2 linked regions of the Nothobranchius furzeri genome follow. The protein of the gene in region 2 purifies or fractionates together with the protein of the main gene of each other region. This does not show direct contact. Links are inferred from orthologs where the notes say so. Each region holds a gene or a part of one and is shown on either strand. Other genes may lie near its edges.

Region 1 (7,775 bases), about 22 Mb from region 2:
GAGTTGTCACTTGTGTCATCGACGCTGATTTGGTAGTAGAGACACATTAAATCTGGATTATACTGTTAATTTAGTAGTTGCCTTCTAAGACGCATTTTAAATTTTGTTCTGAGTTTTTATTCGTTTTATAATGCTGCAGAAACCGACGATTTCCAGTATTTTTTCTTTCATTATAAATGTAGGTGAAAACTAAGACCTGGATTTACTTATCCTGAAATAAATATAAAGAATAATTGTACACACACACACACACACATATATATATATATATATATATATATATATATATATATATATATATATATATATATACATGCATGCATGCATGTATATATATATGCATATATGCATATATATATATATATGTATATGTATGTGTATATATATTACATATATATGTATGTGTATATATATGTATATGTGTGTGTAACAGTTAATTGCGTCTTTAAAAGGTAACTTGAACGGATTCATCTCTTGTGATTACATTCCTAAAACGTTTGTGAAATAATATTTAATGTTTTTAATAAATGAATTAATAAATTGATAAATGAAAAATAATTTTTGTCATTTTAAGTGAAATAGTTTTTTATATGTCTAAAGATTGATTTACAGTAATCTCTGTCGGCATGATAGTAATGCTTATTTCTCACAGTGGATATGACTATGAGATTATTATCATTGATGACGGAAGCCCAGATGGGACACTGGAGGTTGCAGAGCAGTTGCAGAAAATTTACGGAAAGGACAAAATAGTAAGTTAAGACTGATCTCTCAGCATGAACAAGATAAATTCACATTAAAGTTGCACCACATATACTGTGTAAAATAATTAAAAAGTAATTTGTTTGTTTTTTTTATCACAAAACTTTACAGTGATAATCAACAGTCATTAATTGTTAAATCCTTCTAATTTTTCAGGTTCTGCGACCAAGGGAGAAAAAATTAGGCCTTGGTAAGTTGGTAAAATTATTGCATTTCCTTTATAAACATTACCAGTGGATGTAATCATCCCTTCATGTTTTAAAGGCACAGCCTACATCCATGGCATGAAGCATGCCACTGGGAACTTCATCATCATCATGGATGCAGATCTTTCCCATCACGTGAGTCGATGCACGAGTGTATTTGATGTATAAAATATCTTAGAAACAAGACATCTTTTGAGTATCTTGTCTGGAAAAACACAAATGGCTAGTAAAGTCCAATTGAGTATTTATTTATTTATTTATTTTGTTGCACTGCTGTGTATTTTATTCGTCTTTATTTTATTTCAGCCCAAGTTTATTCCTGAATTTATTGAGTAAGTATAATTGTTTTTTATGTTATGAGTTGGTGCGTTTATAAAGACTCGCAACATTTCTGATTATCAGGGTAACTTTCATCCATGTGTGACGAGTCGGATTATTCTAGCATGTTTTAGGTAAAGTATCGTATTTCATTCACAGAAAGCAGAAGGAAGGTGGTTATGACCTTGTGTCTGGTACTCGCTATCAGGGCAATGGAGGTGTCTACGGCTGGGACCTGCGCAGGAAACTCATCAGGTAACGGCCAGTGAGCAGAACTTGGTCACCAGTGTCCGCTCTCCTACGCTCGATGAAAACGAGATTTGTTTTTCTCTCCTGTGTCTTAGTCGAGGTGCTAACTTTTTGACTCAGGTTTTGTTGAGACCCGGCGCTTCGGACCTCACGGGCAGCTTCAGGTAACTGATGCAAGAGGTTTGAATCGTCATTGACTAGAAAACTGAACCGTTTCCTCACTTTTGTGCTTTTTTCCCTACGCTTTTGGAAGGTTATACAAGAAAAATGTGCTGGAGAGTCTGGTGGAGCGGTGTGTGTCTAAAGGTTACGTGTTCCAGATGGAGATGATCGTCCGAGCCAGACAGCTCAACTACACAATTGGAGAGGTGTTGACCTACCACGCTGTTGGGTTCTTTGAATATTTGTACTTTGTATGAGTTCTTCTCAACGTTTCCGCTGAAATTAAACTAAGGTTTATTTTCTCCTCGTCGTTCGCAGGTTCCTATTTCCTTTGTGGATCGGGTTTATGGAGAGTCAAAACTGGGAGGGAATGAGATCGTGTCATTTGTGAGAGGACTGCTCACACTCTTCGCCACGACGTGATCAGCGATGTTCAGAGCTTCTGGGAGCTTTTTTTTTTCCTCGTTCCACAAGTTTGTCTTTAAAACAGAAGTTTCACCAAATTAAAAACAAGAGAGAGACGTTCACCACTTTCTGTAATCATACGGTGACAGGACAACACAGGAGAAGGAAGGTGTTAGCAGTTAAAACTGTGGAAGATGTTCTTTTCTGTAGTTTTCAGAATGCTGAAGAAATGGTGATTCCCAAGTCTTGTCAATCCCATCGCAGAATGTTTCTGGAATTCTTTATTATTACAGTTTGCAAATGCATAAAAATAAACACGTTTTAATTGTAGACTCTTGTTTGTTTATTTTTAATTGATCCAATGGAAATTGTATGCGAATTTAAATGAACTCTTGACTTAAGAAACAGAAACCTGAGACTGATCACACCTGCCATATCCAAAAATTAGAAATTGACTCCATTTATATACTTGTAAGACTTTTAATGTCGGCATACATCAAATACCCAAAAATATCACGGACATGTCTGGATTATCCAGGAAGAAACACTTAAAGGATCTAAGATCTTTGGGAATCCACGTCTGCTATTAAAGGAAACATGCTAAAAGCTGTAGTTTAGAACATAATCTGGGTTTTTGTGTGAGAAGATGTCTGTATTTTTCATTTAATTGGAAACAAACCCTAGACACTTGTATTAAAACATTTTAGAAGAAAAAGTTCATCAGTAACCATCAAATAAGAGGTTTTATAATAACTAGAAATGCAGAGTCCGGTCCCACCTTACAGGAAAGTAGTCCCGGCTGAATGGATGGAGGTATCACAGCGCCACCTAGTGTTGGCCCGGCCTCCAGCTGCGTGCTGAGGCACTGTGCACATCCGAGCCTCCGCAGGGGAGGAGCTACCAGGACGCCCGCTACCGGACCGTAAACGTAACTGCTGCGCCTGGTTGTTTACCCCCGCAGAGAGAGACAGGAAATCAATACCGTCCACAAACTTTAAGACAACGGAGGCATTTATTATTTTAAGCAGATGTTTGCCTAAATGTTCGAACTGATTGGCAAACCAATCATGAGAGCGAGGACCTGGTCTTATTATTTATGCTAATGAGGAATATGTCACTTCCGCTTCTTTGATTTGCGCCATTTTGGATAGGGCAGCTGGTTGGCTGGATGTGTATTGTCTGTCGGGAGAGAACGGGTAAAAAGGAACCCGCTGTTAGAGAATTACGATCAGAGTTGAATTAATTAATTCACCAGAGTGTAAAGTACGTCGGTAGTTGACATGTGTCTACCTTCACCGCTCCAGGAAACGGAGGTTTTAATCGCCCGCCGAAGCTCTCTCTTTCCGTTCTCCGACCACGGGAAAGCGGATAGCCCTCGTCGCTGAGGGGCTGTCGGGCTGGGAAGGTAGACCGACGGCCCGGGTGACTTCTCCCCCACAAAGCACCTGGGAGGGAATTACCGACATATCCGTGCAAGCGGGAGCGTGAATACTCGACCTCGGTCATCCTGAGGTGACACATTTAATTCAGACGGGAGCACTGGATGTAAAAGCAGGTAAACCTGGATGTCCTAATGCCGGGGAGAGTCCACAGATGGTGGCCGCTTGCCGCTGCCTACCTGCGGGACGGGATGGGTGGTGGTGGCTAGTGTTAGTGTGTCGGGGTGGTAAACAAGTTTCATTCTTAAATTAAACGCATCGTGATGTTATTGAAGAACCAAGAGAAAATGCGACAGCTTTCGTTTCAACCCATGTTGTTGGGTGTTAGCTTAGCATGTTAGCTCAGCGCGGCACCACCATCCCTCCTTTGTCAGTTGCAGCAGCTTTTTGCTTTTAACTATCTGGATTCTGTCAGCTGTCTTGGATATTTAACTCATCACGAACACCACGGATGGTCCACAGTTTGTTCTGTTCGTTGCTACAGCGACCGATCTGTCCTGTGGTTATTATGGGATTGTAGGAGAGTGACCACATTAGTGTAAACAGTTTGGTTTTGAACCCGATTGTGAGGAAGTGTTTATGAGGGAGTCCTGGTTGTCTGTGATTAGACAGGTGAGTTCAGGTGTGTGCCTCTAAAGGGGAGCAGTGCTGCCATGGTCACCCTCAGACATCCTGTCACCTTTAATACCGTTTACAGGTGTTGAGCCGTGTGGTGAAACCTCATCAGAGGCATTTAAGACTATTATTCTTCTATTAAAGCGAACATGGATGTCACAAGAAGTGTGACCTCTTAGTAAACGTGGAGGAATGGTAAACATGAGGGTTGAGAACATTGGTTATCACATCCTGTTGGATTATTCGGCAGCATTTAAAGATTTCAAGGCCTCTTTTCTTTCTCTTTAGCACCACTGCAGAATGGGAAACATGTTCTCTGCCAGCAGCCATCGCCACAGCAGAGCAGCCTCTTCCTGCATTTCCTCCCAGTCCTCTTCCTTCTCTCCCTCCTTTCCCTCCTACTCAGCCTCTCCCTGGCTATCTATTCTCCCCTCCCCTGCTCTGCATCGCCCTCTCTTTCTCTCACCCTCTTCCATTTTCTGTCCCTCCAGCCTCCCAGTCCTCCCTTCCCCTCTCCTCTCTGTGTGCCTGACCTCCCTGCCTCCCCCCCCCTCCCCTTACCTCCCTGGCTCACCCCCCCCCCCCCATCTCTCCCCTTGCACTCCTTCTACACTTACCCGCTCACTCCCCCTTCTCTTCCTCCATGCACACTCCCCCCCCCATGATTTCTTTCTCTCACTCCTTCTCTCCCTCCTCTTCCTCTCCCTTCCAACATCACTCTCTCCTCCACTCCCCTCCCCCTCTGCTGCAGACATATTGTAGGGGCTGCTGCTTACTCAATAGGAGGCGCCATTCTGTGATGGTGTTGCAAGGCTGGGAGAAAAGGGGCCAGGCAGAACGTAGGGAGGCTTACATAATGGGAGTCCTCTGCTGCACCATCTACAAGAAAGGGAGGGAAGCAGGAGAAAGGCAGGTAGGGGAGAGGTGGGTCGTTGACTTTTAGGATGCAGGTGGGTCAGCCAGGCAGGTGATGGACCCACAAAAGCATCTATATCTCATTTCCTCAGATTCCTCAAGGGGTAACGAGCTGAGATGTTAACAGGAATTGTTGGAAATGTAGATTGTTGTCCTAGTGTACCAGTGACCTTTGACCTTCCTGCATGAAGCTTTGATTTGAACAGAGCTTGTTTCTTGAGCAATAGAACTAAAACATTTAGCTGAGTCTGGCAAATTTAACAATCTCATTTATACAGATGTTAAAGCATCCTAGAGTTGATCTTGTTGAACATTGGGAGCTAGGGGGATCGGATGCACCATTCCTAAAGTCTGTGCCGTCTCCGACCTGCTTTTTATGTAACGATCAATAGTCATAGACAAACCAACTGAAACTTGCATGTCCCAACCCACCTCAACGTCAGCAGTTTACAAATGTTGGTAGTTAGAATGCTAACCACACAACAACACTAGCCCGAACTACTGCTAACATCCTTGTTGAACGTGAGGAAGACATCCAGGCGTAACGTTCTAGGGTGGACTGGGGTTATCCAGACTACCCCTGAATGCTTATAGAATTATCCATATGATGTAGCATCATTGAGACATCAAGGTCAACTGACCAATCAGTGCTCTGCTTGGTCTTCCTGTTGTAGGGCTTCATTAAGGGGGTGTGGCTGGTCATTTATCAGGGCTCTTGGGTCATTGTGAGCCCCAACAAAGTTTCATTTAAAATGGTTTGTTTGGCTGTTGGCCTGTTCCAGCAGAACTCATAAAAGACGTTGATTCCATTGATTGGATCAGCTGTTGTTGGACTTGAACTTTCTGGTCCGTACCAATTTTTTTTTCTCTTAGTAGGAACAAAAGTCAGTCATCACGGTTGAGATTTAATGTACAACAAATACTTTACATTAGGGCTGCACGATATTAGGAAAACCTGCGATATTCGATAACCGTGCTTAATATTGCGATATCGATATTACTCACGATAAATGAACAAATACTAAAGTATGCAGTGCTGATGTCGTCTGGCGTGTGACGTCTGCTCTGGGTTCAAAGCAAACAAAAACTAATGCATGAATTCCATTACAACATAACATTTTTATTGCAAAACTATGCAGCTGCACCTGCTGCTGTATTAGCAGCTGCACCCGCTACTGTATTAGCAGCTGCACCCGCTACTGTATTAGCAGCTGCACCTGCTACTGTATTAGCAGCTGCAGCTGCTACTGTATTAGCAGCTGCACCCGCTACTGTATTAGCAGCTGCACCCGCTACTGTATTAGCAGCTGCACCCGCTACTGTATTAGCAGCTGCACCCGCTACTGTATTAGCAGCTGCACCCGCTACTGTATTAGCAGCTGCACCCGCTACTGTATTAGCAGCTGCACCAGCTACTGTATTAGCAGCTGCACCCGCTACTGTATTAGCAGCTGCACCCGCTACTGTATTAGCAGCTGCACCCGCTACTGTATTAGCAGCTGCACCAGCTACTGTATTAGCAGCTGCACCCGCTACTGTATTAGCAGCTGCACCCGCTACTGTATTAGCAGCTGCACCAGCTACTGTATTAGCAGCTGCACCCGCTACTGTATTAGCAGCTGCACCTGCTACTGTATTAGCAGCTGCACCCGCTACTGTATAAGCAGCTGCACCCGCTACTGTATTAGCAGCTGCACCCGCTACTGTATTAGCAGCTGCACCCGCTACTGTATAAGCAGCTGCACCCGCTACTGTATAAGCAGCTGCACCCGCTACTGTATTAGCAGCTGCACCCGCTACTGTATTAGCAGCTGCACCCGCTACTGTATTAGCAGCTGCACCAGCTACTGTATTAGCAGCAAAACAACAAACTGCATGCATGCAGTTTCTCAGTGACTTTAAAACATCACCTCCACTATAAAACTTTTTCTGATGCTCCAAATACAGAAAAACGTTCCTTACCAGGGTTTTTGGAATAAATAAAGATATTAGAAAATAAGTTTAAATGTTAAATAATAGTTAACATCACTTAAATGCAACAGCAAATTCTCTCATTGCTACTGAGCATTTTCTCCACTTATGTGGTTATGATATAAGGCTGTTGCTGTAATTGGGAAGTGAACTGTGCTGGGCCAAACTAGGAGAATATTAAGATTTTCTGAGGGAAAGAGAAAAACAATTGTCTACCTTTCAGAAGAGGAACTGGCAAGAATCTACATGGAAAATATTTGAAAACGTTTGTTTTTAACCCCAAATTGAACAAGTTTACCTAGATCTTAAAAAGCAGTGAAGTGTAGCGCCAGTGCCCTATACACTGGCACTACCTGGTAGCTGTTGCGGGTGGTCTTTACGTGTGCTTTAAGCTAAAAGCAGCCCTGATGATGAAACTGCAACTATGATTCTGATAACAAGCTAACAAACTGAGCTAGCTCCTCTAAGATAACCGGCTAGCAGAGCTTCTGACTGACAGTTTATGTGCAGCAGCAAATCAACTATCCTGATTAACAAGGTTATAAAAGCTCATAAATGAAAAATCACTTTGATGTGTGGGGGAACTTTTCCAGGCCCTCTTTAGCAGGGTGGGACTGGGAGGAGAGTGCTGTAGCCTTTTAGCTGGAAGCTAACCGGAGCCTGGGGCTAACATCACCACCCGGTGGAACACTAGCGACGTGAAGGTGGGTTGGTTCACCGGCACGTGTCGGAG
Region 2 (7,775 bases):
TTGGTCTGTCTAAATTGTCCTTAGGTGTGAGTGCGTGCATGCATGTTGTGTGTCTTTGTGTTGCCCTGCACTGAATTAGCACTCTGTCCAGGGTGCACCCCGCCCGTAGACTGCTGGAGATCAGCACCCTATCAACAGTGGCCAGTAGTTTACAGATCTTGCCTCAGTTATCTTGGTTACCATATCTGATCCATGAGTCATATAGGTCACATCCAAGCATCACTTATTCTGCCTTTTCCCTTGCATTTAGGACGCTTCTATATAAATAAATGCACTTCTCTTTAATAAAATTTAACAATGCATACTTCTCCAGGTTTTTAGAATGAAATGTGTGGGTCCAACAGATGTTGGCGCATAAAAGAAAAGATGAACATTAGTAAAAACAGCAAAAGGTGTTTGAACATGGACTACTTCCCACAAAGCTGATAGTCTACTGTAAAACGATATTAACCAACACCACCATCTGCTGGGCAACAGCAACTGGTGCAAAAGAAACAATTTTCTTCCCAATAAACAGAAGACAGATAATGCAACTCTGTCTCACTATCTGCAATTTATGATTTCCTTTGCAAAAAAAAAAAAAAAAGCAATTATAATAAAATAATTTCTTCTATAGCATGTATCTAGTTTTCTGACCATTTGAGGCAGAAAGTTAAATCTGGAGAAAAATATGCATCTTATTTTCTCCAATAAAATACAAATAATACACTTTACCATTGAAAATGTTTATTAAAGGGTGATACAGTACACATGTTTGTAACATTTATTTTGACACAAGAAAACCGCTCAACAATCTGGAAATTCTGCTTGGGTAAAAAGTTAGGACAAAACCATTTTAATGGAAGAACCCAACCGACTTGGCAAATTAACATTAAAAACTGGTCATATGAATAAAATGTATAAAAAAGGAGCAAGTCACTAAGGTTTTACTAAACCAGGAAAAACATCTGAATACACCAACTATTTGGTCCAAAATGTTAAAATTACCCAGAAAAACAAAACTAAAAAGTTATTGAAATTGACCGCTATCTCACATTTGAAAAGGGTAAAATGTTGTTGTTTTTTTTTTTTGTGTAGGGAGGATTTTAGAGAAATAAAAATGTCTAAAAAAATACTTAAGTTGATTAACACAAACACACACACACACACCTCAGAGGCTGTCATCTGTTTTGGTCACGGTCTATGCGGTTTTACTTTGTTACCACTAGGCAGCAACAAAATAAAACGGCAAATAAAAAAATTCTAGCAAGCGAATCACCAAGCAAAGATTGTTCAAATTTAAACGTTGTATTTTGGTAAAAAAAAAAAAAAAATCTACAAAGATAAAAAGTTTAAAAAGGACATGATTAAACAGACAGGAAAGTGCAGAGATGGTTACTTCCATAATGTCAATACTCCAACTCAATCCCACCTGATCATAACACTGCACTCCTCACTGATAGAATCACATCCTGTAAGCACTAAAACATACATCGATATTAAAAAAAGGTAATGAATACAAAGACAATACAGTAGAAAGTTCCCCAAGTAGCATTTCACCCACACCCACTACATCTTCTCCTCCAGCCCGACGGCCCCCTCTCAGCAGCCCGGGTCATTGTGCTCCAGTGGGACGTGGATGGAGGAAGGAGGGGAGGACAAGAGAAAGATGCATCGCCTGTCATTGTGTTGCCTTTGGACGTGGTACATGAAAGTTTTGGATATGGAGGAAAAAAATGTCTGACTTAAGGTAGTCCCTGCAGTGGAGGATTCCTCCCGAGGTGATACACTCACGCGCTAACAGCATCCTTCTCCTTCTTGTCGCCGTCTTCGTGCCAGGTGAGACGCTCCTCGTAGAAGGCTATGACGATTTGTGGGCACTTATGATTGGCCTCCTTGGCGAGAACAAGATCTGCCTCATCAGAGTCTTTCCTGTACGAGAAACCAGAACAGCAAGAGAACTTAAGGAATCCACGCATTGTTAGGGATTGTTAGTTTGTCCTTATTGTCCTTCACTTTTCCAAATTATTTCAACCAAATTTCCCATTTCAAAACAAAATTTCCAAAATCTACAACCATCACTTCTGCTTAGGGACAATTTACTGCATGTATAAATTTAGCTAATATGCAATAGCATAAAGTTTTATGATGTGGCTTACTGTTTATGACGGAACAGCGATTAGCTAATGAATGATTTGCCAGTAGTAATGTGGTGTTAAAGATTCAGGTTGTTAGACATTTAAGCTCATGATAGGACATCGTGCTGTGCTCTGGTGCAACAATTCTGCACCGTTTAACCAGTTCTGTTTTAGACATTTAATAGTTGAAAATGTAAGTACTTTATAATACTTAAGCATATTTCTTTGTCATACGAGAATGAATAGTAGTCCTCTTAGATCAAGTGTGTCTGAGATCCCCATACCCAGCATGTTTTAGTCATCTCACTGCTGCAATACACCTGAATGGTTGAATTACCTGTTCAGCAGGTCACCAAGCTCTACAAAGGCCTGTTAGTCCCCCCTGTGCTAGGTTAGCTTCTAATGTTTATGTCTGAGGAAAATTTTGTTTTACTACGAAATGGGTGCATTATGATTACCAAAGTGCATAAAAGTAAGTGCATTGTCATTATAACAGAATGAAGATCTCCCAAAATGAGTCTACCAGTAAAACTTACCACTTCATTAGAAACATGAGGTCTCCACACGAGTCGGTTGCCCCAATGATCTTCTCTGGCTCTAGGCCCCTCTCAAAGCCACGTGCAACTAGGATCTCATCCTGAAATGTAAAAAAATAAAAAATAAAAAATTAAAAATGCCAGCTGAATATTTGCCAAAGGGCTATTTCATTGGCCATAAATTCAGCAATTCTAAACACAGGTCAAATCTAGATATAACTTATATTATTTAATAAGTATAGGTGTTGCCCATCACCTGCCCATAAGTTAATGCATTATTGGTAATTCAAAAAAACAATTTATCATTTTCATCTCAAAATTATACATTTTACAACATTTAGCTAAAATATAAACAGTCTTTACAGAAATCAGTTCAGAAGAGCTAAGTACAAATGCTCCCACGCATACAAATGATTCATATCAGAATGAGTGCGTTTACATGCAGCCAGTAACCCTTTTAAAACCCGAATATTCACAATAACCCGGTTCCGCAGGTCCTTGTAAACACCGCCAAAAACCTGGATATGCTCATAACCGGGTTTTTAAAAACCCGGTTACTACACCTGGCGTAACCCTTTTCTAACCCGAATGTTTGGTCGTGTAAACGCATACCGGGATATCCCCATCAAAGCGTGTGTTCTGCACATGCTCTGTTCGCAAGGAATCTTGGTCTTTTGAGTAGCGAGACGTCTTGTATGCGCCAGAACACCGGAAGTAAACAACAAGTTGGGAGCAACATGGCGAGTCGCGGCACAGCACCACACTTTCGCAGTGACGAAGAAACTAAAGCACAAACAAACGCGGTCGCCGTCTCTTCCGAACTGGGAAACGTGTTGTTGTTTTCACGGATACCGGAACAAGAAGAACCGGAAATGAGGCATATTGCGTCTGGACGTAGTCCATATGTCTTGACGCTACCCCACCGTCCGCATTTAAATCGGGTTATGCAAGTTAGGGGTAACTCTTTCTATTTATTGTAAACGGGCTTGTAAACGGGTTATTCTGATCAACTCAGAAACCCGAATACCGACCTTAACCCGATCATAACCCGGATATTGGCTGCATGTAAACGTAGTCAATGAAATTCACCTATAATGAAGATAATTTACCTCTTTCTTCTTCTTTGGCTTACTTCCTCCTTCCTCTTCTTCCTCCTCTTCATCAGAGCCCTTCTTTTTTAAGCTGCTGGGATCTTTAGTGCGTCCAGATGAGCCTGTGCTTGATTTACTGGCCCCGCTGCTAGGTGTCGAACTACCACCGCTGCTGCTGCTTTTCTTATAGGTCTTCATGAACTCTGAAATAAGCTCAGGGCAGTCTAGATTCTTCTCTGGCTCCCATGTGTTGTGCTTGCTGCAGAAAATCACAGCACAAGTCATTGAAATGTCACGTTCATTTTTAAAAGGGTAATATTGTGTGCTCAAACCAGCTTCACTGATGCTTTTTGTGCTGTGTGTGTGTGTGTGTGTGTGTGTGTGTGTGTGTGTGTGTGTGTGTGTGTGTGTGTGTGTGTGTGTGTAAAACGGGAATATCAAGTCACTGACCAGTAAACAGGTACTTGGTACTTACTCAGAGTATCCTTTCCACTTAAGGAAGAACTCCACCCTGCCTTTCACCACCCTCCTGTCCAGCACCTTCTCCACAACATACTCTTCTTCATCAGATGAGGACTCCTCTTCACGTGACTTTTTGCCCATCTCGGAGTTGGGTGCTTCACACTACACTCTTTTAGAGTTCGATGGCACTTTCCTGTTCACGACGAAATCACAAACAAGCATCTCACAAAACATGCCATTTTTTCTCAGCGCTCGTCCACATGTAAACACATAAATTTAAGCTCAAGCTGCAGGTTTGCAACCATGAGCGTTAGCCACACAACGTGGTTACCGTGCATCAATGAATATCTTCATTTAATCTCGTTCTTCCCACTAGCAGAACGATAAGCATGGGAAAACTGCTAATATAATGGCCATACATGTGCATTTCTCGACATATGCCCGTTTGAAATAGTTATATGCGACCAGACTGCACTCACAGAAAACGAACAAAGCACACAGTTCAATGAAGACCAAGGGATTTGTCCTGCTAACTAACCCCAAACTAGCCAAAGGAGCTAGCTTACGTGCTAAAGCTATGCTATACTCGCTAATTTACTTATCAAACAACTACCCGATACTTGCAACAGCGTAAAGCACATTTACAAAAACGCAGTTTCTTACCCTCGGAGTGTATAACCCACTGGATGTAGGCCGCTGGTCGCAGGGACTGCTCCGTTTATCTAGAGGCAGCAGTGCAGCTAATGCAGCACCAGCGTTAGCATCTAGCCTGTAGCACATAAAGGTGCCGTGCGCAAAAAGCGCGCGTTAAAAACGCACAATGAACATACCCGCCCCCAGTCTGCTGGTGACATAATAAATGTTTAGAAAACACGTTCCTTCCTACTAAATTTTAACTTTTCTATAACGTTAACGTTCGGTTTATAAAATTGTAGTAACTTGCAGTCACAATAATTTACAAAATAAGTATACACGATAATACAAAATAAAAAAAAACACAGCATAAAGGGTTACAATTATTTGACTGAAAATAAAGAAATTAATATATATACGTCTACTTTGTTGTAGTAATTTATGTTTTCATATATTTTTCGTTTAAATCTTGCTGCATTTATTTATTTCTCTATGTTCATGTTATTTTCCCCCTTTAGTCACCACACACAAAGCCCAGATTAACTAATTTGGCTCATTTTAAATTATACTTTAGCATAAACTCTTCAAGAGTTGTACATTTTGCATCGGTTTGTTTGATTACGGGACATCTTGTGTACCAACATGCGAATGATATTTCCCGTGTTGTTTAGCCAGACGGCAATTTGTCTATCTTTTATATTGTTTATTGTCTTTCTTAGGCTCGTTTCGTAGAAAAAAGTTAATAAGTCGTTTTTTCAGCACCTTTTAAATGTGAGCATTCAATTTCTCTGTCAATTCAGATAATTTGTTTATAGATGAAGGCACATTCATTTTTGGCTTTATGTAATTTAGGTCGGCCATTTTTCTTCATGGTCGACAAAGGCGAATGCCTACTACGCAGTGAATGGTTGTTCGCATTGATTGACAAAATTTAGACCAATCAAAATACAGTTCTGATTGACGACACAGTACCGCGGGAACTACAGACCAATCGCTGAGGGGAAGAGGCGTTTCCGTTCCTATTTCTTGTACGTTCACCCTGTCGCTGGTCTTGTCTGACGCAGCTAGTTCCTCTGCGGTCGGTTCTCAAGGAGTCGTCAAGGATAAAGCGGCAAAATGTCTAAAGAGGTGAGTGCTAAACTTATCAAAGGATATCAGGCCGTAAGATTAATAGTTTGGTTTTGGGTAGTTTTATTATAGGTTGGCCATACTTGGTGTTGTCGACGGACTGTGTGCCGTAGCTGCAGAGCTTTCTTGAAGCCGCCATTTTATAGAAGCTGAGCCTCGTGGCCTTTTGTTCTGATGATGATCTGTAAAGGACATCAGTGGCTTCTCTTCAACACCAGTCTTAAACGATTATATCCCTAACACATTAAACGACAGTGAGTACATATTAATTGTGTGTTGGCTCTTTGAAAGAAGGAGTTCTTTGACTTTAGTCTGAGCGGTTCCTAAACTGTAATGGCGGCGGTGCGCCTTCTCCACCCTATCCCTGATTTTTGATCAAAGACGCAGAGTTTGATATAAATGGTCCACCGACAATATTATTATGCGGAACTATATTGTGCATTGCTTCTCCTATGACGCAAATATTTTTGTGCAGGTTCCACGTGAGCCGGAGCAGCTCCGCAAGCTGTTCATCGGAGGCCTGAGCTTCGAGACAACAGACGAGAGCCTACGGGCTCATTTTGAACAATGGGGCAGCCTTACAGATTGCGTGGTACGCATACCTTTATGTCTCTTTTTAAATGTAATGTAACGTTTGGTTGGTTGCTTAAAGCTGTGATGCGTTTCTGCCTTTAGGTTATGAGAGACCCAAACAGCAAGAGATCCAGGGGGTTTGGCTTCGTCACCTACTCGTCAGTGCAGGAGGTCGATGCCTCCATGTCCGCTCGTCCACACAAGGTGGATGGAAGAGTGGTGGAGCCTAAGCGAGCTGTTTCCAGAGAGGTATGTGAGCCAGCTTATCCAGATTGATTTATGATGCACGAATGGGATTAAGCGCTCTTGTTGTTTGCAGGACTCCAACCGCCCAGGCGCTCACATAACTGTGAAGAAAATCTTTGTTGGAGGCATAAAAGAAGACACAGAAGAATCTCATTTGAGGGATTACTTCCAGCAGTTTGGCAAAATTGAGGTCATTGACATCATGACTGACCGTAACACTGGAAAGAAGAGAGGCTTCGCCTTTGTCAGCTTTGATGACCATGATTCAGTTGACAGGATTGTCAGTAAGTAAAATGTTTATCTTGCAAGCTTTCACCTGCAGTGCTATGTGTGGTTAAAATGTTGCCGTCCCTCCCAATTAACAGTCCAGAAATACCACACAATCAACTCGCACAACTGTGAAGTGAGGAAGGCCCTCACCAAGCAGGAAATGCAAAGTGTGGGCATGGGATCGAGAGGAGGCCGTAACACCGGGGGAAGGCCATATGATTACGACAGAGGCTTCAACCAAGGTAGGGTGTGATGGTGAACACCAACACCTGTAGTGTAATAGGGTGAGTTTTTAAATCCTGATTTCCCCTCATAAGGTGGCAGGGGTGGTCGATATGGCGATGGTCCGTACAATTGCAATGGGGGTGATGGAGGAGGTATACACCTTTTTAGTTATTTAAAGTGGGTTTTGAATGATTTGTTAGAGTACTAATGTTTTTTTATATTTCAGGTTATGGCGGTGGTCCTGGCAGTCCTGGAGGCTACAACCAAGGTGGAAACCGTGGTTATAATCAGGGTGGCTACAACCAAGGTGGTGGAGGAGGAGGCGGTGGCGGTGGATATGGAGGAAATGGTTATGACAACAATGGTTACGGTAAGAATTCTCTTGGTAAAAACCATGTTTATTTCTGCCCAGCATCACAATATAACAGAAAATAACCTTTAAGGTAATTGTGGTGGCGGCGGGGGTGGAGGTGGTAACAACTACAACAACATGG

Evidence for each region. The genes of interacting proteins can lie anywhere in the genome.
Region 1: the proteins of cbx5 (region 2) and adnpb purify together in Homo sapiens (affinity purification with mass spectrometry; 4 studies listed by BioGRID and IntAct, with this or other methods). This does not show direct contact. The link is inferred for Nothobranchius furzeri from reciprocal best matches to the Homo sapiens genes CBX5 and ADNP.

Annotation. Positions count from the first base shown.
Region 1 is NC_091755.1:48,127,274-48,135,048, reverse strand, and holds the start of adnpb (activity-dependent neuroprotector homeobox b), read left to right. Parts: upstream 1-3,450; 5' UTR 3,451-3,657; intron 3,658-7,775. Other genes in the region: dpm1 (dolichol-phosphate mannosyltransferase subunit 1), read left to right, coding at 653-752, 919-952, 1,027-1,103, 1,275-1,300, 1,446-1,541, 1,631-1,699, 1,789-1,903, 2,016-2,120.
Region 2 is NC_091755.1:25,770,854-25,778,628, reverse strand, and holds cbx5 (chromobox protein homolog 5), read right to left. Parts: upstream 5,008-7,775; 5' UTR 4,870-5,007; intron 4,400-4,869; 5' UTR 4,348-4,399; coding exon 4,220-4,347; intron 4,004-4,219; coding exon 3,763-4,003; intron 2,755-3,762; coding exon 2,654-2,754; intron 1,912-2,653; coding exon 1,770-1,911; 3' UTR 1,299-1,769; downstream 1-1,298. Other genes in the region: heterogeneous nuclear ribonucleoprotein A1, read left to right, coding at 5,956-5,967, 6,443-6,559, 6,643-6,789, 6,860-7,070, 7,152-7,298, 7,374-7,433, 7,508-7,651, 7,725-7,775. UniProt on the Homo sapiens protein: Component of heterochromatin that recognizes and binds histone H3 tails methylated at 'Lys-9' (H3K9me), leading to epigenetic repression. In contrast, it is excluded from chromatin when 'Tyr-41' of histone H3 is phosphorylated (H3Y41ph).